Linked DNA regions of Lytechinus pictus. The protein of the gene in region 3 binds, or shares a complex with, the protein of the main gene of each other region. Links are inferred from orthologs where the notes say so. Each region holds a gene or a part of one and is shown on either strand. Other genes may lie near its edges.

Region 1 (7,380 bases), on a different chromosome or scaffold from region 3:
CAGGGGGATGATCTTGTCGGGCAACGGTAGGCCTAGTTACAAAGCAAAATGAACATTAAAAAAGCTTTCTTAACAAGCAACTTTCACGTTTGAGCAAGTTACACTCTAGAGTAGTGGGGTGGGGTGGCAGCACCAGCCAGAATGGGGAGGGGGTACTTATCAATTAAACACCACCATACTTACTCTATCCCTCTTCCTTCTTTTAATTCTTCTGCCTTCATTTACTTTCAGTTTCAATCATTCTTTATTTTACTTTCCTTTTTTAGTTTTTTTCCCTTCTTTTACTTTTTCTTGCATATATTTTTTTGTCTCTATTTTTCTTTCTTTCTTTTTTCCAGTTTTCTATCTCTCTGTCTTTATTTCTTTCTTTCATTTTTTCTGCCTTCTTTTAATTTTTTTTCCATTCTTTTTTTCCCTTAGATTCATTCACTTGTTTATTTATTTTTTCTCCTTTTCTTTCTTCATTCTTTTATTGGTTCTTAATAGTAAGTCAAGAAGGGAGAAATAAAGTTATTTTTATCCTTTTTTAATTCTTTTCATTTCTTCCTTCTTTCAATTCACTTGACTTGAATTTAAGCTCCAGCTGGAGCATAACTCAACTTGTGTTCCTTTCTCATAGAGAAATGATACACAATAAGAAAAGAGATCTGATACGATCGTTTTAAGAATACTTTGACGTTTGAGCTATGGAGAGTGGCAGTGCTCCACTGATAGCGATGCCACATCATTTAAAATATTTACTGTTTACATATGTTGTGACCATTCATTTTGAAGCTTGTGACCTGCTCTTCGCAATAAGACTACGTTTTTTCTTAATTTATGCAAATAAGGCAAATATCTAATTAAATATGCACGCATATCATTAAAAATGTCTCTTGCTCATGCGGAATGTGTATTTGCCTTTGTAATTTCACCCATGCTAGTGATTTTGAGGCAATTAACCACCAAAATGTCAATTGGCCCATTCTTTGATTAAACCAATATAAACTATTAAAAAAACAGTGTTTCATATAGTTAAATATGCAAATTTAAAATGCCAAAGATCCTATATGTAAATGAGGGTGTGATGCAATGATACGCATATTGTAAACCTACATGTATGTTAAAAATATTTCTATTCAAACTACATGTATGATGTAATTAACCACCAACAATATGTCAAGTGGCCCATTCCTTGATTAAAAACTAGTATAATATATAATTCAAACAAGATACATGTATTAAAATATGCAAATTTAAATGCATATGCAAATGAGATGACGCAATATACATGTAGTATACATATTGTATATTTTACAATGATGTTTGTTCTTGTGTATGGTCCATTTCATTACAAATAAATTGGATACAAGTATAATCAATGATATGATGTTCAATTGCACAAGAACAAATTCATAGAATATTATCTTCTACAAAAAATAGTAAATATGCAAATGAGATAAATATGTAATTAACAAGTCAAGAGCAGAGGTACTTGCCCAGCTGCATCCATTATTACCCTCAAAAAATTTATGCCAGGGGCCGGTAGGGTTGGACAAAGGTCAAGGTAGCTAAAAAAAAATAAGGTCATGATAGGGGGAGGGGCCAGTAATGTTGGACGACTGAAAGGTAGCTAGAAAAAAAAAATTAGGTCGGGATGGGGGGGCATGGACCGGTGAGGTTGGACGAGTAAAGGTAGCCAAAAAAATGGGGTCGGGGCAAGGGCCAGTAATGTTTGGGGTACGTGTAACATAGGGCCCCCCCCCCCCAAGAAAAAAAAATTGGGTCGGGTGAGTAATGGCAATTATGGGTGAGGGGGCGGGTTGTAATGCCACGCAGGGGCCTGGGGCAAATTATGGAAGGGGTAAACAAAGATCTATAGTAAATTGGGCAAAAAAAAGATGGGGTCTTGGGCCATAATCAGGATTTAAAAGGGCAACAAAGGTCCATCAATATCTGTTACATAATCACCAAAAACCAATCACCCCTACTCAACAAACTACAGTATCCGCATTGACCCTAAATTTTCCAGATTGAGGACAGTGCAAGCCCCAGTCTTTCCCGCTGGCGGTATTTCGCGGTTTACTAATTGGTAACAAGTTTGGCATCATTACAAAGCTTAGAATTCAAAGAATCTTATGATGCTGGGATTTTTTTGGTTTTTCATGTGTAGGGGTACGATAAAGGGGTCAAAACATTCATGTCATCATCAAATCACCATATCAACAAAATCTCAACATATCATTATCATGATATCAAAATGCAAAAAAAAAAAAATCGGATTTTTTAGACATAATTTCAGAGCAAAAGTACTAAGCTAACGATTCAATTTGCCACAAACACTGGTGTAAGTCAAAATCTTGTGTGTCACATGATTATGACAGGAGCAGTACTTTCCACTTCGGGCTTCTGCGATTCAAAATGGTCGCGCGCATCGTCCGATCAGGCAGGTTTCAATGACACATTTCAAGTGCAAAATATCTGGCGATTCTAACCTCAAATCAGAATGTAAAGTGAGAATTTCGTATTTTAATTTGATAATCTGCGGATATTTGTGGGTCAGAGTGTTACTGAATGAATATTTAAAGACTGGAAAAGAGTTTTCTGAGACCATGTTTTACACGGGGGCAGAGCATACCGATGCAAACGCGCGGCCGGTTTGGCATCGCTACAGCACTGATTCGCGCCGCACTTCTCGGTTTTACTTTAGATCTCTTGCCTCTTGGACGTGGACGGTACACCCGCTGCTAATGCAGTGCATCTTCATTGTTCCCGCTTTACCACGTCCACGCACGCGTTGCCCACGACGGTAGTTCAATAAATCAGGATATAAAATGACAAATAAATAACATAAAATAGACGATTTCTGTATAATTGTACGATATTTATTACCTCGCCGAATCGGGGGCTTCTTAGGGGGCAGTTTCCCCCTCTCCATATGTTAACAGATTCCTTTAAATTTGTGGAAAATCACAGAGTTTCACATGCTGTCTTCTCGAACAGAACTCTCAATTTACGAATGGGTACAGTATCCTCAAATGAAAAAGGTACATGGAAAAAATAACAACCCAGACTCGACTGGGCCAGGCCAGAGCCAGCTTTGGTATTGCAGACAAGAGTCGGAGATGCCCCGGGAGATGCACAATCGCCTGTATCGGAGAACGTATTTTTTAACGAATTTTTGAAGTGTTTAGTTAATGAATTTTGATGTTTCCTTGCCTTGTCCCACGGTGGGTTCAAAATTTGTAGTTTTCAAGCCATCTTGGATTGATTTTCATTTTTTTACCCAGGCCAGACTGTGGAAATATTGTAAATGAATTAAGTTTCGCTATGATTTTGAAAGTATAAATTGTTTTAAATAGTTTTCTTAACAGTCAGGTGATAGATTTCGATAAAAAGGGGAAAATTTGAGCCAAAATGTCCATGTTTTTGGTCAAAACTTTGTTATTTGTTTTATCATGAACATCAGCAACCGAATGGACAATCAGTTTTCGACAAACGAGATTCATATTGACACGCTTCATGACATAACAGTATATAAATTGCTTAGATGGAGGGCAAATGCGTCAGTAGACCCCTTATTACTCGTTATTGTGCTAAAATGAACCCCCAATAATTGATCAACCTTTTCGTTGTAGTCACACCAATGAAACCAACGAGATCGTTGGTATACAATTCAAGAACATAGCTTGGATCAGGGGCAGATCCAGCATTTTCCAAAAGGGGGGGGGGTCACATTTTCTCGAGGGAAAATTTGTTATACGCAAAAGAAAAGGGGGTTTTTAACCACTAAAACTTAATGATATTTCGTCGCCGAAAAATTTTTACAAGCAAAAAAAAAAAAAAAAAAAAAAAAAAAGGCCTTCACTTTCGAAGGGGGGGGGGCACACTTTTGTTTTAATGCCATTTTTAGATTAAAAAAAATAATTTTGCTTCTCAAAGTCCGCCAGTGGCTTGGATAAGTAAAGCAACTTTTTATAATTTTTATAAAACCTCTTGAAAAACTTGAAGGAGATATTGCTATATGCAGGTTACATGGAAATAAGTTTTGGTATCTCACAGCTGGCTCACAGCCTAACGTGACAGGAGCCGGGCCGGCCTGTCGAAGGTATCCTACCCCTACTTTGACTCTATTATAGTGATTTGGGGCAGTGACAAAACGGCATTTCTACTATGTACATCTCAAAACCACTTTAACTATCCTCCTAGAAAAGATAAAAGAAACATTGCTCTAAATTAAAGATTAAGGGCGTAGGCTGGAGTGCATTGGGTGGTCGAGCACTCTCCCTCTGAGGCAGAGGAGTTCCGACACTGGCAAGCAAAACAATTGTTTTACCCCTTCTGCTTTCAACAGCTGAATTTCCAACCTTTAGTCCCCCCCCCCCCCCCGGTTCCACCTCACTATGCTCAAACCAGCCTACGCCCTTGAAGATTCAGTGCTCGAATAACAGTTTTGGCAAATTAAAGCCTGTACCCCAACTGGGCTTCAATATTATTTACTGCGCACCCCTATCCGAATTTTGACTCTGTTGAAAAATATCGTATTTGGATAACCCCCAATTATGACAAAATGAATCTCCTATATTGTTTTTTGGGGCCAATACAGTTCTTTCTTATAATTCACGATACCATATCATCATGATTTTTAACCTTTCTTCTCTGTCGTGGATGTTTTTGAGCGTGGGTAATATAATAATAATGTCAGTTCAACGTATATACGCCACGAGTTAAGCGTGCGTCATTGTAAAGAAAATCATATTAAGCTATGTAAAGAGGATGATTTTTATTAACCGTGTATTAAGTAGATTGGAAAACATCCTACCATTGGTGCTTGGTTGTGTTGTGAAATATTTTCTTGGTGATCATGTGATAAACTAAATTTTTGATGTGGCTGTATATATAACTGAGCAATGTGCAAAATGTTGATACAACCGCCGTGACAATAACTTTAGATCGACACCGAGTGGGAGTTTATCAGTCACTTTTATTTGCCGCTCTGGGGTGTTGGTAAGAATGTTCATTACAACTAACTATTTTAACTATTAATTTACACAGTAACTTATGTTTGAATAACATTAGAGTTGGATGAAAATTATGTTGTGCTAAAATCCACAAACATTCACGATTTGAAATTATATTTAATACGATATTTGAAAAAGCCATCCTGTTACCTTTAAGGATGTAATTAAGCTTCGATTTTGTTTATTACTTTGTTGCATGGGCGTCAATCTATTCGCTTGTTTGGAGATAATATAGATGGCGATCGAGTCATAAAAAGATAAAAAGACGTTCATCACCAAATATACTCTTAAAAATGTTGGGCAAAACAAGGCCCAATTTTTAACCATCACTGGGCAACATACTGTCCACACAACTATTGGTTAAAATCTGTCCAAATTGGGTAATAAAAACTAACAATTGGGTAATAAATTGCTCAATTGGATAATAATTGCCCAGAATATATATATATATATTTACCAACATACATTACCCAACACAGTGGACAGTATATGTTGCCCACCATAGTGTACGCTATAATCATATTATGCACTATACTGCCCAAACCTTGAGCCACCTCCTGATGAAAAACACAAGCCTTTTTGTATATTCCACGGGCGTAAATCCCCGGGGGGGGGGGGGTGATGGGGATACAACCCCCACATTCCGGAGAGGGGGTGGCATGCAGTCACAGTCTTCCCCCTCCCCACTTTTCAAAACAGAAACGATTTTTTTTTTTTAAATCATCAAGTGATTAATACTACTGTTAATGTGTGGATTCATCTTTAAATGTGACCAAAGTGCTTATTTGCCCAGTTTTGCATTCTAAAAATGCCAATTTCTCGCGCGGTTGCTATGCTCCCGCGCTCAATCTAATCTTACAATATTTTGGCCATGACAAATCCATACGTTTAGCATATTGCAAATGTTATATCCCCTGCATCATGAGAGTATATATGCATATGAATTTTATGATTCAAATGATTTTTTGATATGGTTATAACTGATCATAAACCAATCAAAACATCCTTTGAATACACTGGCGTGAATGTTGGGGAAGTCATACCAGTCTAGCATATTTGGAAGCGGGGGATAATTTATACAAAAATACAGGCATACTCTATACTTAAGTTAAGTGTACGATGAGTTACTGCTGACTAACCAAATCAATGTCGTTTATGAAACACGGAGGCAAGTTAGGACACCGATTTTTAAAAAAAAAACCTTACAATTTCATCCGTTTATAGGAGACTTAAAATCACATTAATTCCATAACAATTTGATATATATTTCAAATATTAATTTCATTCCAAATTTTGAATGTTGCATCATCTTCCAATATAATCTTAAAGACTATTCAAAATCTTTCTTTTCAGCAATATGTTTCTTTTACTCTATGTTGTTACCACTTGCATATCTGAGGGGGAAGGGGGTGAGGGCTACGTGCAGTATCCATGCTGATGGAGTCCCCCCCCCCCCCCCCCCAAAAAAAAAAAAAAAAAAAAAAACGCCAAAAGAATAGTGAAAAGTGTACAATTAATTCCAAACCAGATGTTTTTTTTTCTTGCTCAATTTCGCTAAGTGCATGGCATCCTTGAAGTTTCTACAAAAAAGGTTCTCCTAATGACATTATATGACGCTAAAATTGCCATCAAATCGAACTAGCTAGTCACGAATTTTGTAAGGTAGAAAGGAGTTTTGAAATATTATTCGTGTGGTTGCTAACTTTTGTTCCAGGAGACGCACCTTAAAAGGCACTTCAATATACAGACAGTGTTATCGTAAAATTAAAACCCCTTCAATATTCAAAACCATTAGAAGCTTCAAGCATGCATGGTGCATGGATGTCGTCAAAGGAGACTAAAATATTAGTGTACACTGAAGCAGTATATCATCAAGATGACGGTCATAAAATTATTTGAGATTTGGTGGTGATGACAATGCTAATGGTGTAGTAGTAGTATAAGTGGTAGTAGTATTAGAAATATATAGTAGTAGTAATAGTAGTAATAATATAATAGTAGTAGTAGTAGTGGTAGTAGTAGTATAGTAGTAGTAGTAGTAGTAGTAGTAGTAGTAGTAGTAGTAGTAGTAGTAGTAGTATACAAGTACTAGGGTTAATGATGTGATGATGATGATGATTAAGATGACAGCAACAATGATAATAACCATATGCGGCTATCCCGCGAAGCCCCCCTCCCCACGAAATTAATATAGACGTACAAAACTCGCCAATCAAAATGCGAGCGCACAGCGCTGACAATCAGACCTGAAAAGGGATATTTTGAGAACTTTATGGAATACACGAAGAGAATAGATACTTGACAAATCAAATAATGCTAGTGCGCATGATATCCAGTGATCACAAAGATAAAATTTTACTTATTCATTTATTTTTCTAGA
Region 2 (7,008 bases), on a different chromosome or scaffold from region 3:
CATTATTTTACCGTGTATATTAAAAAATGTCAAATGCTGATGCGCGCTTTTGTCACAGTGCGCCAAATTGATGCCTGTTGCCGTGGTTATCCACGCTATTTTATTCATGAGTCCACTCTTCAAACAGTGGACTCATGAATAAAATAGTGTATCTAACAATGTTAACAGGCGTCAATTGGCGCACTGTGACAAAAGCGCGCATCAGCATCGGACATTTTTTTTAACACGCTAAATTAAGCGTAATTTATACAGGAAATCTGCATAAGCCATGGATTCAACCATGGGTTTTAAAAACCACCTTTTTGAATTCGGGCCAATGAGAGCTTCAAAGAATGAGAACACTAGGTCTGAAGTTTGGGATTCACTCAAGCATGAGATGTGCACATTGTGCAATTTAAGTGAAACTTCCAAGCAGTCCGAAGAATAAATGGTGTCAAAGAAAGCTAAGAAACTCTTGTATCTCGTCTTATTTACTTGTGCAAAAGGAGAATTACTCTTTCAGAGAGAAGTTAATTCTGAAATTTCAACATTTTGAAGAACAAATTGTTTTTACTGAGAACCTTTCCTGGCCACGTATTAATGGTTTGGGGGTGTGTGGCTGATCACAATTGTTTGAGAACCAAGGTTTCGTTACAAAAAATCCTGGCACTTGGCCACCAGGCAACTTTGAAAACAGCTTTAATACCTGGCCATAGTTGTCAATTCCAGAGTAGAGACGGTTGACATTCAGAAGGTCAAAGGTCATCTTGAGGGCATGACCCAAGTTTGTGAGACCGGTGGCCTGAAGGTTCTTCAGCTCAGTCATGAAGACTGCAGGATTCTCCTTCCAGCCAGCCTAAATTATCATAAAAATAACATTAAAAATCATTAGGTGTAAATAATTGCCCATGCCTGCATTGAAAGGGAAAGTTTAGCCTGACAAAAAGTTTATTGCAAAAATAGAAGAAAAGAATAAAAATAAAAAAAATATTGGCAAAGGTTTGAGAAAAATCCACCTAAGATTAATATTACAATTTTTTGGGATTTGGGACATCGTAGTATGCAAGGCTTTGCAAGCAGCTTCCCCATTTAAAATGTAATAAAAGAAAAATCTATGAAATGTCATTTTCTAAAAAAAAAAGAGAAAAAGAATGAAAATGTTTTTGGAATTTCTGTATATCACCAAATAAATTATTTCTGGGATAGCGTTGAAGCTGCTGAAATGGATTACTCTTCAAGGTTCACACCCAATCCTGATGGAATTAAAAAAAACAGTAATCATGAACCATTATTTAAAAAAAGGAGCAAAATTACGCATTTTATAGCAAATAACGTATTGGGCTCCTGCTTTTATGATTTCACAAATAAAAAACTTAAAAATTCTAATATTTTTCTTATAAATCTTCGGATTTCCCTCAAACCCTTTACCAGTATTTATTTTTTCTGCTTTTTTACAATAAACTTTCGTCAGGGTGAACTTCCCCTATTTCAGGATCTTAAATTCTATATTTAAAAAAAAATGTCTTTCCTTCATGGTTCGATCAGTGGTGAAGAAAACTATTATAGCTATTACTCCTAACATTAGGGCTTATTCCCACTTACCATATCGATGCGCCCCCACACAAATAAAATCACTTTCAATTTGAGAAAAAAATCACACAAAAAAACATAACTTTGTCATTTTTTTCACAATCCTTCACCATTATTTTTATCTCTTTCTTTTGCTCTCAAAAGTTATAAATAAAATCAACTTTTTGAAAAGAACATGCATACCATACGTACCCTATGGCTATGCCATGGCTCTAACTTCTAAGACTATGACTATGGTTGAATGTTGATTGTGTTGATAGATTGATTCTCAAATGTTTGGGATTTTTGTCACATTTGGCTACCCATACATGTAAATAAAACCACAACTAAAAGTGAAAAACTAACACAAATTTATTTATTGATCATATTAATATATATAGAAACTTTTAAACATTACCTCAAAACATTTCTGTTCAATTCTTCTTAATTTATTTTATAATTTCCTAAAAAGCGCCTTGAGCACTCTACAGAGTGGATTTGGCGCGATATAAGTCTAATTATTATTATTATTAAATATTATTATATGGCAGGTATACTCATTGAATCCACAAGTGTCTGCATGCATTGTCTCATTAATGTCTGCTAACTTCAGCTCAGCTCATGAATATTGATCGTTGTTGATCTTTTATGATCGATATCCTGACGTGACCCACAATTTTAGTCTGAAACAAGATGGACGTTTGTGTGGAGGAAGTACATCTGGTGCTAAGTTTCATGCAATATTTTGCGAATCTACCACCCAGAACGACATGAACCCAACATTATTTCGTGGGGGAAGTGTTGAAGAATCGCGATCTCGCAAATAAATGACTATAATTTATGACAAACGAGAAAAATCAAGGACCTTATAGTACCTTTATTGTAGCCGGGGACTCATCGCACGTCACCAGCATGTAGCGATCCGTGCGGCTGGCTTGGTCTCGAAGGCGAAGCTAACGTTACAACATGAGAAAAACAAAAGAATTTCACAGTATGAATGTTTAAAATGAACAACAATACATCTAAAAAAAATTAGTATGATCATTTAATAATATCAACAACAGCATCATATATCGTAAGCAACCCAATCTATCATTCTTTCGTAAAAAGAAAGTCACTGAACTTCATAAAAAAAAATCGATCACCCAAAATGCATTGCAGTTTACCTTCATGAATGTCTCGACAGCTCCCTTTGCAATATCCAAGAGTGATGTGCCCAAATGTGTCCTCTGATTCATCGAAGCACTGGTGTCTATTAGAAAAACTAGCACCGGCATCTTGTTCCTTATTAATTTATCTATCTCTCATGCCAAAACTGTGTAGAAATATCGCCTACGAGGCCCAAAATAAGAGATTTGATTCCCTTTCCTCCTTTTTGGCAGCTTCGCGAGAGCTGCCGATTTTAGCAGCAGCGAAAACCCATCGCGCAAAAAATAAATGTACGGAAAATTATCGCAGCGCAGCCCTAGTCACGTGACAACTTGGTGATTGGTCAACGTCATAGAGATGTATACTAGTAACGCTAGAGGGCGTACTTCGTCAAATCGCTGTGATTACGTGGAGACCGTCCGCCATTGCTCGATAGGTATTCGCAGCCTGCCATGAGCGTACAGTACCTATGGGGCATGTACACGGATGAGCACAGAACATGACAAATTGATGACATATGAGCACGAAAGCATATGGAAAAGCAAAATTGTAAATATTGCACTGGATTAAAGTTCAAATACAACAAAAATCTAGCAAAACTGAGGTCAAAAGGCCTATATAGGCCTATCTATAGCGCATAATATAGGCCGATACAGCTATAATACAGGCAAACGATTTAAAGTCCCAATTGTTTTTGCTTAGGTAAAATTTCGATACATTAATATGACTTCTATTTTCTAATGATTTGGAAGAGATGAATATCAAAAATAACATTTAGGCCTAGGTCCTGATAAATAAATTTAATGTGTTTTAATATGATTTGATGTACATTAACCTAAGAAAATTCATAGGCCATATCACAGTGTCTGATGCATCTGAGACGCTGTATCGAAAAAAAAACCACGATTGTATTTTTATAGTTCATAGTTTCACTATTATGCTGATTGCTGATAATTTATTTCTTCACTTTAGATAATTGTTATAATTCATTTTCCATATATATCTACACAATAGGGCCTATAATAACTCGATCCCTTTTCCCCATGTCTTACACGCTGATGTAAACCAACATCACAAAAACTCGCGAATCATAAAATGACTTTTTATTGATATTTGGAAATGATTTACGCATTGATTCAGTTAAAAATTGATGATTTAGATTTCCTTTGCTGGCAACCATCCCATCATATTTATAAATATGTATATAAAAGTATACTTTCTTACTTGCGATCAATGTATAGAAAAGTTTGTTGACAGCAAAATTTGCATATCAAATGCGCGCATGCAGTCGTACAATTTTGCAATGTACAGGAGGCCTAATGGGGGGTTGGATGTTTATGTACAGTGTTATTGCCTTGCAAACATTTTAAAACTTCGGAGAGTAAACAAATCACAATGCGCAAAACAATTTTACTTTGATTTTCTGGAAAGTATAGACTTGATTCTCCCCGGCTGAAAATACGCTGATCGGCAAACTGGCTGAAATATTTTGTTTATCGCCGTTGTTTCTGATCCTATATATAATGATTGGACCAATATCATGTGAACAAATCAAGGATAGAATAATAAGGAGAGGAAGAAGGGGGAGAAGGAGAGAAGAAAAGGGGCGGGATTATGATATATAATTTGTATTATACTATAAAGAATATTATTACTACTGCAAGAGTGTATAAAACTAATATCATGAAAGACATCAATGCAAACTTATCATAATTATGAAAACGGTTGCAAAATTGTGAGTACTAAAACCAAACATAATTATGAAACAATAATATTGCAAAAGTGACAATACTTGGAATAAGATATTAAAAATCCTAATTTAATCTCAAATTTGATACCTGCCTTGAAATTGTGTTAATTAACTGTGTCTGTGTCGCTTGAATAAATGAACTTTATGGCAAATATTTGTAAGCACTGGCACCGGCCTAACATATAAACAGATAAACACGCGTTTTGAATATCCAGTTTTGTTTTTCATTTTAAAAGTATAACTGAATTTGATTTTCTAGTTTTCTTCCTTTAATGTCATTTGCTGGCCTATGGACCTGAGTTTGGTTATTCGATCAGTTTTTTTTAAATAAGATTTCCATGGATGAACAAAATTATTATATTATGTTAATTACGGCGTCGCGGAATGATTTTGAAAGTGATGGGGTGCATAAAATCACAATCATTTATTATGTGTAATGTTCATTTTCATTTCAGGGAGGGGTCCGGTCGCGCCCCCTGTATTTTATTTTGATCAGTATGTTAAAGCGAATTTGCTTAGGTGTGTTTGTTATTTTAATTGCACACACGGCCCCTAAAAAGCGAATTAAAACAAATCTAACTTAAAGTGAAGGGAATTAAAACTGTCATTTTTGAAAAGTTTGAACAAATTAGGCTATATTCTCGACATTTTAAATCAATATTTTATTTTCGGGCCATATAGGCCTGCAGATTTGGGGGAATTTATTATGTTCCTATAAGAACAAAATCAGCACGTTCACCAAATAACACAAATTTCAACATTGATGGTGTAACGGGAGGCTCACCAAGAACAATAATGAGATGCCCTTTAATAGCGCATGTAGATCAAAACACTAACTTATACAGAATTATTGTACAACTTAATATATAAAAATGATAGGCCTATATTTCATACAAATTAAAGCAAGTTACATATCATGTAGGCCTATATAGAAATTACAAAATTATATCCAACATAAACATAGAATCAAAGGACGTAAATGTGGGAAGGATGGAAGGAGGACGATGCAGTTAAAGGTAGGGAAATCCAGAGAAGGGCTAATTCACTGCAGTCTTTTGAATTAATTGTCAATCTTTCTATTAATGTCCGCTGTATGTTTTTATTTTTATATGATTGTTTATATGATAGTATATCAACATTGTTATCTATTACAGGCCTATAAACGGACAGGTAAATGCAAATTATTTAGAATTTCATCCCGAGAAATCAGGTTTTTAAAATGCCAAATTAATAGCATAATCCCCATGTAATCACTCTAATAGTGTATTGAGATGCAATTTGTCATTCATATTTTCGATTTTTATGAGGTTGTGTTCTTTTCTTCAAGAAAAAGGCCGGAGACGGCACCCCTTTTCACAGCGTTACAACGCACGAGCTATGGGTACATCCGGGTACTTTTGCGAATCTATACCTATCGAGCAATGGCCGCCACGCTCCACACAATCACAGACGTTAAGTACGCGCGCCTATGGCGACTCCGCACTCTAGCGTAGTTAGTATACATCTCTATGGTCAACGTCAATCTCTCTAGTTTGCATATGATTACAATAAGAAAAGACGTTACTAAAAATACATGTACTGTACTACCGCAAGCGAAGAAAATAATAAACATCATTGAATTTGCAAGATAGCTTGCTTGACAAAAACAGAACAAGTATACTCGCTACACCCACAGCTGAGCTCGAATTAAGAAAGGGAAGGCCATTAATACTAGTATAGGGAAAGGGAAGGAGGTATGCTCCCTCAGTGCTCCCCTCACGAGGATCGGGGGGGGGGGGGGGGGGGGGGGTCGCGACCTGGCCATTAAAATGGCATATCAATTTTATATACGTAATTAGTATTTTTGTTATGGGACACGTGCACTAGATAACCGTAAGGCAACGTATATTCTTTTCAGGGGCATACAATATTCTTGTTTTGGCGTAAATTCTACCAATAAGCATGAGAAGGGCGGGCCATATATGCATTATAATTATAATACCTTAAATAGGGACCGATATTGCCTATGAATGAGAGAAGATTTAAAAAGGTGCATGGGGGCGTTTGCCCCCTCCCCAATTCAGGAGTGTTCCTCAGTATGTTGCCTCACCGGCCCAGACAATTAAAAAATTGAAAAAAAAATAATAATGCTGCCGCAATACTCAAGCTGTAAAGTGTTCCACTAATAAACAGCATTTTAATTCTAACAATTTTCATCCACCCGCTCTCTCGCCAAGTCAGGCTGTCGTCACTGTCGTTGCAGAGAGCTCGGAAAGTTGTATAATATTAATGTACAAACTGACCACTAGCGTACCTACGGGAAAAATCCTAGGTACGCCACTGAAACTGACCATGTAAAAGTCCAGTCGATGCACCCAAGAAAAATGTCGATTTGAATTAGTAGAGAAAAATCAAACAAGGCAGCGTAATAACGGAAATTTCATCGCCATCGGATGTCTAATAAGAAAGTTATGATATTCTCTGAAGTTTTGCTTATTTTTCAGAAAAAAATTACATGCATTATTCAGTGATATCTAAATCGATGATGTTCCCCACTCACTATTTCTTTGTCAGTTTTTATT
Region 3 (7,846 bases):
ACTTTTAACATTTTCATGTTTGAGCGAGCACATTCAAAAACTTAGGAATGAATACTCTTTATACTGCATAAATGTATTCTTTTCTAACAATTTCTCATGATCAGTTTAATTTATGGACAAATCAGGGGTGGATCCAGAAATAAAAAATGGGGGAGGGCCCTATAATCGGGGGAGCCACCAACATTTTCAAATTTTAATATGACCAAACAAGTTGTAGAGGATACTTCCAAAAACCCCTATGATGATACGTCACAATACAGGGGCCGCGGAACGGTTTTCAAAGTTGGGGGGGGGGGGGGGCTGACCATGCAAAAAATCACAATCGTATGGTCATTTTTACATTTTTGTACATGCTTTTGGAAAAAAGTGGGGGGCCCCAGCTCCCCCCCACCCCCGCTTCTGCGGCCCCTGCAATATTGTGCTCACTCAACCATGAACATACGATATCAAAATTGTGTGTGGAGTGGCTAAATGATGGATAGTAAAACGGCATTAACACCATAAAATTCACCTAAATGACCTAACAACAACTTTTTCCCAACTTTGTATTTGCACAATCTGAAAAACGTCTCTTGTGACTTTCAAAAATGGTCATTTTTAATTCAATCTTTAATTACTCATGCATGACTCAACCGATCAATCTCATTTTTCCCTAGGAGTTGCTTAATGAGTGTAGAAAACCACCTAAGAAATATCATATCTCAAAATAATTCCGTTCGAAAGTTACAGCAATTTGATTTAGGGGGGACTTACTTTTTTTGTTGTGTAGGCTATACATTTAAATCTGCAATTGAGAGGCACTGGAAATCCCATCCATTAAAATATTAACCATATCAGAGACAACCAAACATGATGAGGGTCAAATAAGCTTCTAGCTTCATGTCTCTGCATCCAAGTAAATCCAAGTATTAAGGTTTGAGGAAAATCCATTAAAGATTAAGAAAGTTTTGGATATTTGACACAGGGTGCTACATAACTTTTTAGATGAACTTGCCCTGTTGGGCAAGTAAATTTTTAAATAGTTGGAATATACTTCCCCAAAAATCTATTTCACTTGCCCGAAAAAATCCTTGAAAAAAAGTTTTACTTCTTCAAAAGAAAATATTATGGTTTTAGAAACCATTGACCTTTTTTTTTCTCTTTTGACATGAACTGATGTACCTCGTTCTTGCATTTTTTAACAGAGTGATTTTATCTTGCCCGCCATGACCAAATTTAGGGTAATTTTGGTAATTCTACTGTGAGAATTTTGCTTGCCCAATTCGGGCAGTTTTGGTCTTTACTTCAAATCACTTGCCCCGGGCGATGGGGCAAGTGCTTATGTAGCACCCTGATTTGACATCATTATCAAGCAGCAGCCCTATGTTATTTTTTTTTTAAATATCCTCTTTATTGATCAATCATAAAATAAAGAAAGGTAATAAACATAAAACCCAGGCTATCAGTTCTTACCGAACACGATACAGGGTGGCAATATTAAGCATATTATACAACATAGACCAGTACGACAATACACCAGACAGTGGCCTGTATTGTTTCCAGAAGATAGATGACATAAACAATGGCATAAACATGAATATGCAAAAATAAACAAACATAAGGGTAAACATGCAAACAATGCCATGATTCTGCATACTTGGAAAAAAAAGATTTGGAGTCTGTTTACCTATTCAATGCGCATCATAATCTTTGCAAAGTAAATTGATTAATCATAAATTTAGTTAGCTAAAAAAAATTCCATTACATTTCTACAATGTGATGGTCATGCATGTTAATATAAAATGCATCAATTTCAATTTTTTAATGATATATCTTAATTTCTTTTTAGGAACAGTATACTGAAGCCTTAGGAGTAAAGGACAGTAAAAACCATTTTCAACTTTCTGAGAAAATGACATTTCATTGAATCGATTTTTTACCAAACGATTGTAGGAAAATTTCTCGAATTTTACGTCATCACGTCACAAATCAAATAATTAAAATTCTAATTACTTTTTTATTCGTTGATAGATTTTTCTCAAACCTGGCTTGCCTTGGCTTTGGCCTTTGGTGGTTTGGCAATATTAAATAAAAATTATATATTTTTTCTTAAACTTGTCAGCTGTTCAACTCAGGGCAGGGCATGGGCGAAGTCCCAGGGGGACCTGTCCCCCCTACTCAAAATAGTAGGGGGGACACAATATCAAATGTCCCCCCTACTCTTTGTGGTCTTTAAAAAAAAATTAATGATGGTAAGAAATACATCATTCAAAATCGAAATAAAACGTGTTTTAGGAGATGACTTTTTGGGGGGATGATAACCCTTTTTTTTTTTGCTTGTCAAAATTATTTTGGTCGAAATGACCTGAAATTGGGGGTGATAACTATTTTTTTTGGCTTGTCAAATCTATTTTTCGTCGAAATGACCTTAAATTTGGGGTGATAACCTTGTTTTTTTTGCTTGTCAAATTTTCCAGCCCCTGGCCTTGTCCCCCCTACCTAGTTTTGAGAGAGATTTCCGCCCCTGCCCCTGGGGGGGAACTTCCCCTTTTACTTTTACTTAGTACGATTATCAGTTTTGGTTTTAAAATCATTTCTAAAAAGGAGACTTTGTTAAAACGTATGGTCTAACTCTAAGTCTAACTCACCTCATCTTCGCTTCTTTCAAAGCATCTTGTTCAAGCGTACTGAAGTCGACGGACAGGAGTGCTACGATAGAGTTGACGACTTCCAGGCCGGAGAGAACACGTAGAAGCTTCTTGCGTCCCTGGACCCAATTGTTGCTGGTGTCCAAAGGAGCACAAAGCGACATGCGAACGAGACATGGCAGCAATACCCTCAGTTTATTCTCTCCTAGCTTCACGATGGCATCGATGTCGACATTCTGCATGGCCTGGAAGGCTTCAGGTGATACAACAGGTCTTGATAACATGATTTTGAAAGGTTATTTACCTTTTAAGCACACTATTGCTAAGTCTCAAGTTGAATTGGTCATATTCTAAGTCCTTGATTTTATTTTTCTGTGAAGTTATGGTGGTGTCGTTAATGAAAGTGGTAAAAAGGAAAAAAAGCCTCTTCTTCGGAGTGGCATACTTTGTCGCCAAATAATTTAATAAGCAAGAAACAGAAAGATGTACAATACAGAGAAAATGGAAATGATCAAAAGAAATAGAAAACAGATATATAAATGAACAGACAATATAAAATACATGAAAAAAAAAAGAAAATTGAATAGAACAAAGTCGGAACAAGGTAAGAAATAATGATATAAAGAATAATATATACTGTATATACCTCTTTCCGGATCGGAGCACATAGTTCTTGTCCGAAACTGACAGTGATCGAGAGTGTATGGTTTGCATAGCACCCTACTTACTTCCCTCCCTCGATGTCTCTCTCTCATCTGCAATCTTCATTCTCTTGCCCTCTCACTCTCTCATCCTACCACCATTTTCTTCCCTCCCTTGATAGCTCTTTCATCTGCAAACTCTTCCTCACTCTCTACTCTTTCACCATCTCATTCTCTCATCTGCCATAGCCTTCTTCGTTTATATATATTCCAGCCTCTCGAAGCCCCACCCCTCTCTCCCCTGCCATGCAAATAATTTGCCAAAAGGGTTAAGTGCAGAAGGCAAAAAAAATCTTAAAGGGCAATTCCATCCCAACAAAAATTAGATTTGAATAAAAAGAGGGAAAGCATAATTTTTATGCTGAAAATTTTGTGCAAATCGGGCATGAAATGGAAAAAGTTGTGATATTAACAAATTTTGCTCATTTTTCACAAACATGTTACACATATGCAAATGAGAGAAGATGTCACTCACTCACTAATTCTTTAATTTGCATTTTGTTGTTGAATTATACAAAATTTCATTTTGTGCAGACTTGGCAATACAAGATTATCAAAATCACAAAATTGGTAACACTACATGGCAATTCAACACTTCCAGGGAGGAATCAAATTAAACTCACATTAATTTAGAGAGAATTGAATTTTTCATATTCATATAGTAAAACACAAAGGAAATAGTGAGTAATGATGTCATCAATTCTCTATTTACATACCGGCGAGGTTGTGCAGACAAATGTTTTGTGAAATTAGGTGACTTTAATTTATTTGAATCTGATTTTGATGAAAATTTCAGATTTGTTTGTTGGATTTCTCTACATTTATTCAAATCAATATTTTATTGGGGTGCATGACTTACTTTCCTTTTAAAATTTACAAGTGAAATTTATTCAAGTGATTTTTAAAAATAGATTTTGACATAGCATTGACAAGATATTACATATCATCCCTTTTAATTCCCCCTCCTGTTTCCTTGTTTGTGGAATTTCTAATTTTAGGGGGGGGGGGTGGGTAAATTATTACCCCCATTGAAATGCCTCGTCTTATCTACCTCTTTCTCTATCATTTGCCACTTTTCATCCTCCCCTTTCCCTTGATTAATGTTTCATTTAAATTGTTATAAAAAAACAAGATACCAACTTACAAAAATATACTGCCAAAAAAATGCATTTGTTATTAATGTCAAGTTTTACAAGACAAATGAAAGCTCTTTAGTATCAGCCCAAAAGCGGTCACCATCTTAAATACGTCACTCTAAATTCATAGCCATAGCTACAGTCTCAGTTTGTTATGGCTGGGCAACAAGATAGCATGAATTCTTTTCTTCTATCCATCATTGCCAACAAAGTTTACTTTCTGCCCAATTAACAAGAACATAGGCAGTCAGAAGTGTCACAACTATACTGTTATAACTAATTTCCTGATTTTCATCTCCTCTCTTTTAGGACGTCTCTCAGAAGCACTTTCTATAATGGTGTTAAATCATTATTTGGTAAGCAAAACGATTAACTGTCATCATTTTCAAAAGGTAGATCACTTTAATCATAAGAAAATATATAAACCACTATACACATCTACATTATAATACTCCTAAATGGTTCATGAAAACTATTTGTCTTTTTTAGAGCATGTACACAATATTTCTGATACATTGAGTGCACAGATAAAATCGTTTTCAATTTTATGAAAAAATACAATTCGTGGACTTTGTCACATAATATATTATGGAGCTGCTAGCATATGATATCACAAAATTAAAACTTTAAAATCCATAAGTCTGACATTTTTATCACACAACTCTCAGTGAAAGCGCTTCAAAAACATTTGTAAACATACATACAACAATGTGATTTTTTTTACAGGGGTATCATCAAACACTCCAAGGTTACAGAAGTGTAGTGACTGTTGATAATTTATATTAATGTGAATTTTACAAATGAGAATGTCTAGCATCCTTTCTTTCTTATATGTTTCTTTTTCTTCATTACAAAAAGGCACACTTAACACTAACATATGTTTCATATCAATTTATTGATTGCATATCAGAACTTACAATTATATCATGTACTAGTTAATTTCAGCTAATTTCATGCTCAAAAAGTGGTTTTTATATAAGATCTCAAAAGAAATCAGTTTTTGTTTTGATAAAATGCCAGTAATTATTTCTCACATAAAGACTACTAAAATTCAAAATTCAATACATTTTCTTTGGATAAGAAGGGATAGTAATAGCTGTAACGATTTGACAGTTGACAAATAATATAAGCACATATTATCTCTAACTATCTTCATATTCAAGATACAAATTCCATTATAATTGTATTGCATGTAGACAACTATGTCTGTTGTGTGCAGTCCTAGCAGTGTAGCTTAAACAAAGTAAGAAATATAAGAGATGTTCATTTTTTCAAGATTATATGGAGCTAAATTAAGCACAAAAATAAGATAAGTTATAAAATAAAACCAAACTGACTCTGACATTATACTTTTAATACCCTACCCCTTTTTTAATTTTGCATTATTCTCACTTTTATATTTGACAATAATTGGGGAATGGGGATAGAGGAGTGTTCTCTTAGGCAGAGTTCTGCCATCAGATGTGAAAATGAAATTTACGAATCTTCCTGGATACATGTAAATGTAAATGCAACAAAGAAATTTGAATTCAGGAAGTAATTTTGCACCATAGATTATTTATAATTAAATTTATATGGAATATTATCATTTTGAATATTAGAAAGTCGAAAAGGGGCCTAAGCTTTCGATCCTAGCAGAATCTTCGTCGGAGGCAAAATGACAAACATATAAAGTGGAACAACCATAATATAGACCACAAACAAGCTACAGCAACACTAGAAACAAGGAGACAAAAGGGGCATTAGTGAGTAGAGAAGACCAATCAGGTTAGTGAAGGGGATGAAAGAAAAGGAGTAGGCAGACACAAAGGGAAGTTAGTGTAAGTAAGGCCAGTAAAAGACCTCAAGCCAAGAGGGATTAAAATAATGAGGCAAGCAACATCAAACAGGATCTGGAACAAAACAGTGATAATGGGATGATATTTATATACATATCACTTATAGATACATATTTACACTTACCTTCTTCTCTTAGTTTGTTTAATGCTTTATCATATATACTTTTATGTCTTTTGCACATTATCAGTTGTTCCCCATTCTTTTCCTTTCCCCCCCCCCACTCTTATGAACCAGTTTATTAAGCCTTTCTTTGTAACCTGTTTGACCCACCTCTCACTAATTCTCTTGTTTTTCATCCCATTATCACTGTTTTGTTCCAGATCCTGTTTGATGTTGCCTGCCTCATTATTTTAATCCCTCTTGGCTTGAGGTCTTTTACTGGCCTTACTTACACTAACTTCCCTTTGTGTCTGCCTACTCCTTTTCTTTCATCCCCTTCACTAACCTGATTGGTCTTCTCTACTCACTAATGCCCCTTTTGTCTCCTTGTTTCTAGTGTTGCTGTAGCTTGTTTGTGGTCTATATTATGGTTGTTCCACTTTATATGTTTGTCATTTTGCCTCCGACGAAGATTCTGCTAGGATCGAAAGCTTAGGCTCCTTTTTGACTTTCTAATTTACTCCATTGGCTCTCTTTTATTAGATAAGCAGTTTTCAGCAGCTTCTTTTTGCCATTTTGAATATTATCAGTTGTGTATCACAAATAAAGTGAAAGCTGTTTATTTTTTGCTATATAATTTCACACATCATGTATGTACAACTTAAACTGCTGTTATGCAAGACCTATTCCTATAGATGTAAAAATGAAATATTTAAAAAGCTTATAAATGTCTAATGATCAAATATCACAGATTTGAAATATACTACAAACATTATAATACATTTCCCATGCATTACTGATAATTTACATATTTGATATATCATGCAAGTAAATACATTGATTGGTAAATCACTTTGACAGAAAAAGAATGATAGACTACATTAATAAATTAATCATTAAATAAGTAAATTTAAATCACAAAATATAAGCAAAATGAATTAATACATAAATGCATAGAAAAATATAATAGAATGATACAAATTAATAAATTTATGAATATGTGCTTTATCTTCTTATCAATGAATAAAAGTCAACATTGACTCTTTGATTTGATAACAAATAACTTCGATGACAGAGTTTGGCTAAGAATGAAGTTATTTGAGGGTCATGATGCGTACATGCTGTCTCATCCATGTCAGCCCTTGGTCTTTGAAATGCTGGTTCATGTGATCATTGTCTGCTAAAAGCTCGATGGAAAATTTCTCTCCTTGAATGATGAGATGGGAGCACAAGATGCCAAGTACAGGATCGGAAAAATAATCAAAGAAAAGTAAAATAAACCACAAATACAAAAACACAATATTAACAAGCAAATATGTAACATTCACAATAAAAAATAAGTTCAGGCAGACTCAAAACATCAGAGAGCTAATATTCAACATGCATAAAGTAAACAGTTACACTTATAAATGTGACTTTTAATAACTCGATCCTAGCGTCTTCA
Region 4 (7,123 bases), on a different chromosome or scaffold from region 3:
ATCTTCATATCAAAGACACTACAATTGAAAGACTAGACACAGAAATTATCTTACACGTAAATCGATGCAAAGCGTTACGCGAAGTCGGCAAAGTGTTCAATCTTTTTACTGTAAAGACTTTGGTGGAACGTTAATTGACAAACGAACGGTAGCACTTGCTGGGCTTTGTTCAAGGTACATAGAATTTTCTATATTTTTTGTTTAATTTGTCATCGTTTTGAATATTTTCCAAAAAGTATTATCGTCAGCAAAAATAATAAAAAAGTATGTTTTTTAAGTTATTGCATTTATTGGGGTCTCTATTTTATCAAACAATTATTGGAATTGCGCATACAATGAATAATGAATCTAGTTTTAAAAATACCACCAAGCCGAATTAAGGTTGCGAACTGTATTAGCGCCACCAACGACCTTCCTTTTATTTCCGTGGAAGAGACGTGCGAAGCCACTTTCCAGGCGGAGGTAAGCGATTTTGCTCTTTTTTGTGTCCTTTTTAAATTAAAAAAATATGTTAAAAATTTATAATGGAACGCTTTCTACCAGAAAAAGCCCTGGGGCGGTATTCTGAAAACGTTCTTATCTTAATTTTGTTCTTATCTACGTCACGATCTGAAATTGGTATTCTGAAAACGTTCTTATCTTTTTCTTATCTTTTGTTCTTATCTTTTTCTTATCTTGCTAAACATCCTATGCTGAGCGCGTAAATGTATTACTCGCGCATATAATACAAAAGCGCGCTAAAAAGATAAGAACAAAATGAAGATAAGTGGTATTCTGAAAACGTTCTTATCTTTTCTCTTTCTTATCTTTCACGATATTTATGATAATATTTAAGATAGCTAGAGGGTTATCACGATGTCCGCGTTCTTTCTTGCTCAAACTCGATGGTCACTAGTAGTAACAAGTACCCACAAGTATTCATCCCACCCTTTCTTTTATTCACCCTTTATTTTGCCCGTCTCTTTTTTTCTATCCCTTTTTTCTTTATTTATTTTCTTTTTTTCTTCCTTTTTATTTGTCTGTCTTTCTTCCTTTCTTTCATTCTTCATTTATATCTTTTGTTTTATTCTTTTTGAATCTTTTAATTTCTTTAATTTTCTTTTGCTTTGTTTCATTTATTCTTCATCTTTCTTCCTTTTTTATTTTCCCTTTGTGCTTTTTTTTCTTTGCCCTTTTCTCTCATCCTTTCCTTTTTTTTTCTTTCTACCTTCACTTTTTTTTTTCTTTTTTTTTCTTCCTTATTTTGTTTTTCTTTCGTCTTTTTACATGCTTTTCCTTTTCCCCCTTTTTCTTACTTTCTTCCTTCCCTTAATTTGTATCTTCCCTTATTTATTTTTCTTTCTTTTATTTTTTCCCTTTTATTTTTGGGTTCTTTTTTCTGTTTTCGTTCGTTCGTTTGTTCTTTCTTTCATTTTGTTTATTTCTGCTTCCTGACACTCTTGTGTCTTATTTACTTTCTTTCTTCTATTTTATTCTTTATTTCGCTCATTCTTTTTTGTTCGTTCTTTATTTGCTCTCTTTCCTTACTTTCTTTCCTGTATCTTTCTTCTATTAATATTTAAAAATCTTTTTCTTTATTCTTTCCATTAATATTTTTCGTTTTTTTTTTAAATTCATTCTTCACTTTTCCTGACTTTTTAATTTTCCTTTTCGTTCCTTTTCTTTCTTTGAATTTACCTTTCTTTCCTTTTATCTTTCTGTAGTCTTTATTTTTGCTTTAATTATCCTTTATTTTTTTCTCTCTAATCTTTATTTCTTTGTTTCATTTTTGTTTTTTCTCTTTTCCTTCACTTTTTACATTTTTTATTCCTTCTTTTCTTTCTTACTGTCTTTCATTCGTTTTTTCTAACTTTTTTCTTTTTCGGTTCTTTATTACTTCATTTTATCCTTTCTTAATCTTTTTATTTTTTCCTTTTACTTTTTTTCCTTTAAGGTTATTTCTTTTCTTTCTTTATTTTTTCTTCCTCGCTTTATCATTGATAATCGTTCTATTTCTTTTTCCTTCTTTTATTCATTCTTTTTTCTTTATTTATTTTTTTCATTTTTAAGTTGTTTTTTTTTGCTTGCTTACTTTCGTTTACTCTTTATTTCTTTCATTATTTTCTGCTTTGTTCCTTTCATCTTTTTTTTTTAAATTTCTCCTTCATTCTGACACTTTTCTGTCTTCTTACTTACCTACTTACTTTCTTTTCTTCATATTTTATTCCTTATATTCGTACCTGCTTTATTTACTTTTTTCTTTACTTTCTTTCTTTATTTTATGCACGTGTCTCAAAATAATAATCAGTCATTGCGTATAAATTGCCTATTTCGCGCAATGCGCCAGAAACAGTGTACGCGCAGCGCCCATGATATTCTCTTGACATAAGGGACGCTTCTATTGGTTAAACTGCCAATATAAAGCGCATTTTGATTGGTAATATCCTAAAAATGGGCGTGTTGAAGATAAGAAGGAGGCAGTCCTTACAAAGATAAGAAGATTTTCAGAATACCGATTTGCAATTATTTTAGCTTCTTCTTATCTCAATGAGATAAGATAAAAGATAAGAACAAAGATAAGAACGTTTTCAGAATACCACCCCTGGTGAGTAGCGGAATGGGTTTCGGCTAACATCATTCACGTTATGAAGCGATGTTAACGACAACTCTAAAATCCACTACAAAAACACGTTGGTTGTGCGAGGTTCGTATAGCATATACTAACCTCGCAATAGTGTGAGTGCCCATAGGCTATACTGTGTGGGCTAGTGGCTGAAAATGGGCATTTTTAAGTCTTTATGCTGACCTAGACTGTTTGAGCCTATGTGAGCTGCCATGGAAACATGTCACACACAGTGGCAAATTGTATAGAACGGATAGCGGTGCGTTTAACGCTAGCGGGCATGTATATTTTGCTTATTACATGACGTCATCCAGCTACTGCCGAGAGCCAATTTATGAATGAAAATATAGTAAGCATGCGCAGTGAAAGCCTTCCATAGCCCCACACAGTATTCCACCAAAACAAGTGTGCAATTCTCTATCACCTCGTACAAAATCGACCAAGAATTTCACTTCTCTATAATGTATATGAATTATGAAAGGTATTCTCGGAGGATCTATTTTCTCAACGATACCGCACAGGTAAGCGAATTTCGATTACTTCTTGCTTTTCTGTCAAAATCTTACGAATTAGCGTCGATATCGCATCGTGTTCGTTGGAGTTTGTAGAGTCTATCGCAACGTGCACAAAGTCAATTGATTTCCGGGTTTCGGAGCGTCGCGTGAATATCCATGAAATTGCCGAGTCTCGATAATTTTCGATCGATACTGGAGCGATCCGATCGCAAACCAAGACCGTTTCCCGCGTAGACAATGTGAACAGATATCGTTATCGCTATCGATACTTTCGCACGCAGTCCGAGGGAATTATTTTGGCCACCACGTAGTCATGTGATCTGCGCGATTGACCAATCAGCGGTCTGCGATTCGCTGAGCTGAGACGGTCTATCCGTTGCACACAGTCTATGGACGATTTGCCACTGTGTTACATTGATAGATAATCAACTTGGCTACCAGAAAATGTGAAGATGTTGCTACATTTCACTACATTGTGCACTCAAAATAGAGAATGAAAATTTGAGGCAAATTCACCCATTGACTTTTTTGACACATGTCTACAGCACAAATCTGGTGCCATTGCCCACCCTAATTTCAGAAATATCCCGCATACAGCTTATCATAAAAGATGGGTGACACGAAAGACGGTCCTTGGAAAGACCCTTTCGTGCAATCAGCCCATGATGTTTATCGGTATTAAGCAGTGTCATGTCTCTCGCGTCTCAAGTCTCTTGACAATTATGTAACTAGCTGCTAGGTACATAATTGTTGAGAGACGCGAGTTAGCAGTTTCTCGACCTTTGAGTTCTCAACACCAAGTGTCTACTGAGGAGACTAGCTAGGGTGTGATATAGGCCCAAAACAAAAGGAACAACACCTTTCTATTTTGCATGTCTATTCTCTGAGACATTCTGGTGCTAGCGCAGGTGCCACCAGTCTGGAGAAGAAGAAGAAAAAGATTGATGATGATGATGAATGATGATGATGATCAATGATGATGATTATGGATGACGATGATGATGATGATGGAGGAGGTAGAGAAGAGAAAGCAAAGTCAAAGAAGATGAAGAAGACAAAGAGAAGTAGATCTAGACTAGACCTACAGAAGACAGATGCTACATGTAGAAGAAGGAGAAGACGTAGACGAAGAAGAAGCCAAAGATTAAGAAGAAGATGACGAGGGAGCCAGAACAGAAGGAGAAGAATAAGAAACTTACCTGGCCGTGTCAAGTCTGCAGTTTACCCAATTTCACAAAATCTTGACTCAAAGTAAAAGAATATGAATGATTGATGGATGACTTAACACATTAGAATCTGCTTTTTTTTTCTTGCCTGCATAATGTAGCACGATGTGTTTGCTGAGAGCAGCGGCGGCATCAACAATGAAATCTTAATCTTAACGAAGGTTTTGAAATGCACTCATAAAGTATATGGATCTTGTTTAGAAACTTGGACATAAGGATTATCAAGTATCACTGATTGATAATCTTACATGAGTTACAGCTCACATGACTAAGGTCAAAGGTCATGTAGGGTCAATGGACTTTGACCATGTTGTTTGTTTCAACATTGACATCTTAACCAAAGTTAAGTTTTTGAAATGACATAACTTTAGAAGTATATTGACCTATTTTTATGGAGCTTTGACATAAGTGCAATCAAGTATCACCAATCATTTTGCAAAAGTTTTAGGTCACATGATCAAGGTCATTTAGGGTCAATGAACTGAGTATTTTATTAACAGTGTTTTTCGTGATTATATCTCAGTTGTTTTCCGAGTCAGCACTGCTGCTACATGTAAACTGGGTACCAAAAGAAACTTTTACAAGGGCATTGTACAAACTCCACTCATTCAAAATGGAACAATATATTTACCCAGGTTAGCTTCAGTAATCTTTTAAAAGCACATGTCAATAGTTAAAAGATTGGTTCAATCACAGATTGACTGGAACAGCCACAGACAGATACAAAGAGGTTATTAGCTACAGATGTAACATTAAAAAAATTCTGAAATTTTCTCAAATGTCACAAAAAGCCAGACACGTGTTGAGACCAAAGAAGCATGATTGTTCTAAAGAAGTGTGATTGTTCCTGTCATTTAAAATTTTGATGTTAACTTCCTGTAGCTTCTTTGTGATTGAGTCAATCACTTAAACTAAATTGGGAAGTTTGTTTCATCCCATCTCATTTTTATTGGCCCTTTTTTTGTGCTCTTTTGTGACTTTAGATTCAGAAACCAATTGATGTAAGGGGCTATAGTCTCCCTGTGATTGAACCCCAATCTCTTCTAATAATTGACATGTGCTTAGTAAAGATTATTGAAGATAGCCTGTTAAAAATATTGTTCATTTTGACAGAGTTGAATTTATACAGTGTCCTTGTAAAAGTTTGACAAGTTTCTTTTGCAACCCAGTTTATATCGAATCGTGTAATGCAGATGAGACTTTCAAAGGCATTCTTGATTAAATTTCTTTATAAATTTGGCTTTCATGTTTTGTTCACCAGAGTGCTCAAATGTGTAGTTTAGAAGCCTGCTACTGGTGAATAACACAGATATAAATTAAAGTGTACATAATCTTGTTTAGATATTTTTAAGTATGCCATGTTTCTTTTGCATATGTTGCATGAGAGCGAAGTTGGCTCAGTCAGTAACGCGTCTGCCCGTCGAACCAAAGATCGTGGGTTCGAGTCCACCTCGGGCGGATGACTGAAGCCAGTGCGTTGTGTGTAAACGTCTCTCCCATGTTTCATAGATGCAGGCTATGTTACAGTGGAAAACACTCCGTCCCTCGGATAGGACGTTAAATGGAGGCCCCGTGTAGAGGAGAATCACCACCTTTGCACGTTAAGAACCCACTGCACTATTCGAATAAGAGTAGGGGGAAACCCCGGTGTAGTGGTCCACCTGCATTCCCCCAGTTATCGGGAGGAGAGACCTGCGGGTCACAGTTCTGTGTGCGCGCCCTTGTAGGCGACCCAGATTGGCTGGCTCCTCCAATGCGCCTTTGAATGTCTTTGACAGATACATGGCGCTATACAAATGCTGTGCATCATCATCATCATCATCATCATATGTCTTGGCAATAACACCAAAATCATTTGGCACATCCATTGCCATTTTGGGGGATTATGTTGAACTCATTGTTAGATCATTACCACAATGTCATTCAATTTACAGTTTACCTGTCTTAGTGGCAACCTGTCTTTAGTGATAACCTGTCTTTGGTAGTTAACAGAATTGTCTCTGAATTGAAAAGAATGTGTGTTAAAGAACCTGTCTACAGTGGTCACTATTTCTGTTTCCCTTTGGTGGCTTTAGTGGAGACGGTTGTCACACTGTGAATTCCTGGAATGGCATTGTACTTTGTTATAGATGCATTTTATCATACGACTGCTAAATTGTAGAAGGTTGTATACAGAGTTATGTGAATTCTTTACATTTAACAATGCCTTGTATGTGGCATCGCATCAACCTTGTTACACTGAGAGAATACCAAACGGCATGTTTCTACAGAGAATCGTTGAACAATATTACCCTCATAAGTATCAAGAATTCCGGAAAACTTCCCTGTAGAAAGAGACGCAATGCAGTTTATTGATAAACTGCATCGCGCAAAATATAGTTTCTTAAAACCACCTCTGGGAGGTGGTTATTGCCATGTTAATCTGTTTATTTGCGATGCGGAATATGAGTTAATCTGATTATTGCTCTGAAGAGATGGGTTGGTTTAAGGGCGATAAGGTTTTTCGATTCTGGAAAAGATAAACCGTTTTTAACGATTCTCTGTAGAAACACGCTGAATGATATAATTTGGGTGTGATAATAACCCAACACGAACAATAATATCAACAACAACTTAACAACCGCAACAGCTACTTGAATTCAAATTTCAGCAGAAATAATTTTCCATATTTGTTATTCTTTCAGGTCTTCATTCCAGCAAAGCTGGGGAGCAGTGTGAAGCTATTGTTCGGTTTCCCAGACTGTTTGAGAAGTATCCCTTCCCCATCCTAATCAACTCGG

What was found.
Region 1: the proteins of integrator complex subunit 2-like (region 3) and integrator complex subunit 1-like are in contact, whole or in part, in a cryo-EM structure (PDB 8RC4), measured with the Homo sapiens proteins. The link is inferred for Lytechinus pictus from reciprocal best matches to the Homo sapiens genes INTS2 and INTS1. Residues at the interface, in NP_065799.2 of Homo sapiens: Pro40, Leu54, Lys69, Leu72, Arg73, Leu75, Ser76, Gly77, Val78, Glu79, Val81, Asn82, Val85, Gly125, Thr127, Leu128, Glu131, His132, Glu166, Val172, Tyr173, Glu176, Arg322, Gln325, Gln326, Arg329, Gly400, Lys402, Thr769, Met772; in NP_001073922.2 of Homo sapiens: Gly561, Ile562, Ala563, Trp564, Asp565, Lys566, Gly567, Ser982, His1055, Met1056, Thr1058, Pro1060, Glu1095, Arg1096, Thr1098, Ile1099, His1102, Leu1107, Arg1225, Ser1250, Phe1251, Gly1252, Ile1253, Tyr1285, His1288, Glu1291, Val1292, Gln1293, Glu1295, Arg1296.
Region 2: the proteins of integrator complex subunit 2-like (region 3) and integrator complex subunit 6-A-like are in contact, whole or in part, in a cryo-EM structure (PDB 8RBZ), measured with the Homo sapiens proteins. The link is inferred for Lytechinus pictus from reciprocal best matches to the Homo sapiens genes INTS2 and INTS6. Residues at the interface, in NP_065799.2 of Homo sapiens: Ile855, Asp856, Pro857, Leu858, His895, Arg923, Glu925, Leu926, Lys927, Ala929, Leu930, Ala932, Ala933, Gln934, Ser936, Ala937, Gln940, Ile941, Glu944, Asn1010, Lys1013, Leu1014, Phe1017, Gln1018, Gly1019, Tyr1020, Pro1021, Ile1046, Ala1047, Gln1048; in NP_036273.1 of Homo sapiens: Ile484, Val486, Arg487, Ser488, Arg489, Phe527, Gln528, Val529, Ala530, Leu531, Leu532, Asn533, Phe541, Arg542, Asn543, Ala544, Tyr545, Ile547, Arg549, Leu552, Leu553, Leu556, Met559, Arg560, Asn562, Leu563, Leu564, Lys565.
Region 4: the proteins of integrator complex subunit 2-like (region 3) and integrator complex subunit 7-like are in contact, whole or in part, in a cryo-EM structure (PDB 8RC4), measured with the Homo sapiens proteins. The link is inferred for Lytechinus pictus from reciprocal best matches to the Homo sapiens genes INTS2 and INTS7. Residues at the interface, in NP_065799.2 of Homo sapiens: Gln27, Lys28, Val29, Cys48, Arg51, Met52, Cys55, Ala56, Ala58, Asp59, Gln60, Ser61, Trp64, Phe92, His93, Ala186, Glu187, Pro189, Ile194, Val218, Asp220, Ser221, Asn223, Glu224, Ser259, Leu262, Lys263, Arg265, His285, Gly294; in NP_056249.1 of Homo sapiens: Leu38, Gly39, Glu40, Cys42, Glu43, Val46, Arg47, Asn77, Phe78, Leu81, Cys82, Leu84, Lys85, Gln88, Gln89, Asn114, Asp115, Pro116, Val117, Ala120, Ile121, Arg124, Val153, Glu156, Val159, Phe160, Ala163, Leu195, Lys196, Pro199.

The regions. Positions count from the first base shown.
Region 1 is NC_087254.1:32,366,344-32,373,723, forward strand, and holds the start of integrator complex subunit 1-like, read right to left. Parts: upstream 3,005-7,380; 5' UTR 2,918-3,004; coding exon 2,872-2,917; intron 33-2,871; coding exon 1-32. UniProt on the Homo sapiens protein: Component of the integrator complex, a multiprotein complex that terminates RNA polymerase II (Pol II) transcription in the promoter-proximal region of genes.
Region 2 is NC_087260.1:11,488,280-11,495,287, forward strand, and holds the start of integrator complex subunit 6-A-like, read right to left. Parts: upstream 3,005-7,008; 5' UTR 2,826-3,004; coding exon 2,715-2,825; intron 2,502-2,714; coding exon 2,424-2,501; intron 836-2,423; coding exon 686-835; intron 1-685. UniProt on the Homo sapiens protein: Component of the integrator complex, a multiprotein complex that terminates RNA polymerase II (Pol II) transcription in the promoter-proximal region of genes.
Region 3 is NC_087246.1:9,593,114-9,600,959, forward strand, and holds the start of integrator complex subunit 2-like, read right to left. Parts: upstream 3,015-7,846; 5' UTR 2,912-3,014; coding exon 2,628-2,911; intron 1-2,627. Other genes in the region: probable thiopurine S-methyltransferase, read right to left, coding at 7,497-7,609. UniProt on the Homo sapiens protein: Component of the integrator complex, a multiprotein complex that terminates RNA polymerase II (Pol II) transcription in the promoter-proximal region of genes.
Region 4 is NC_087251.1:16,406,562-16,413,684, reverse strand, and holds the start of integrator complex subunit 7-like, read left to right. Parts: upstream 1-4,102; coding exon 4,103-4,220; intron 4,221-7,027; coding exon 7,028-7,123. UniProt on the Homo sapiens protein: Component of the integrator complex, a multiprotein complex that terminates RNA polymerase II (Pol II) transcription in the promoter-proximal region of genes.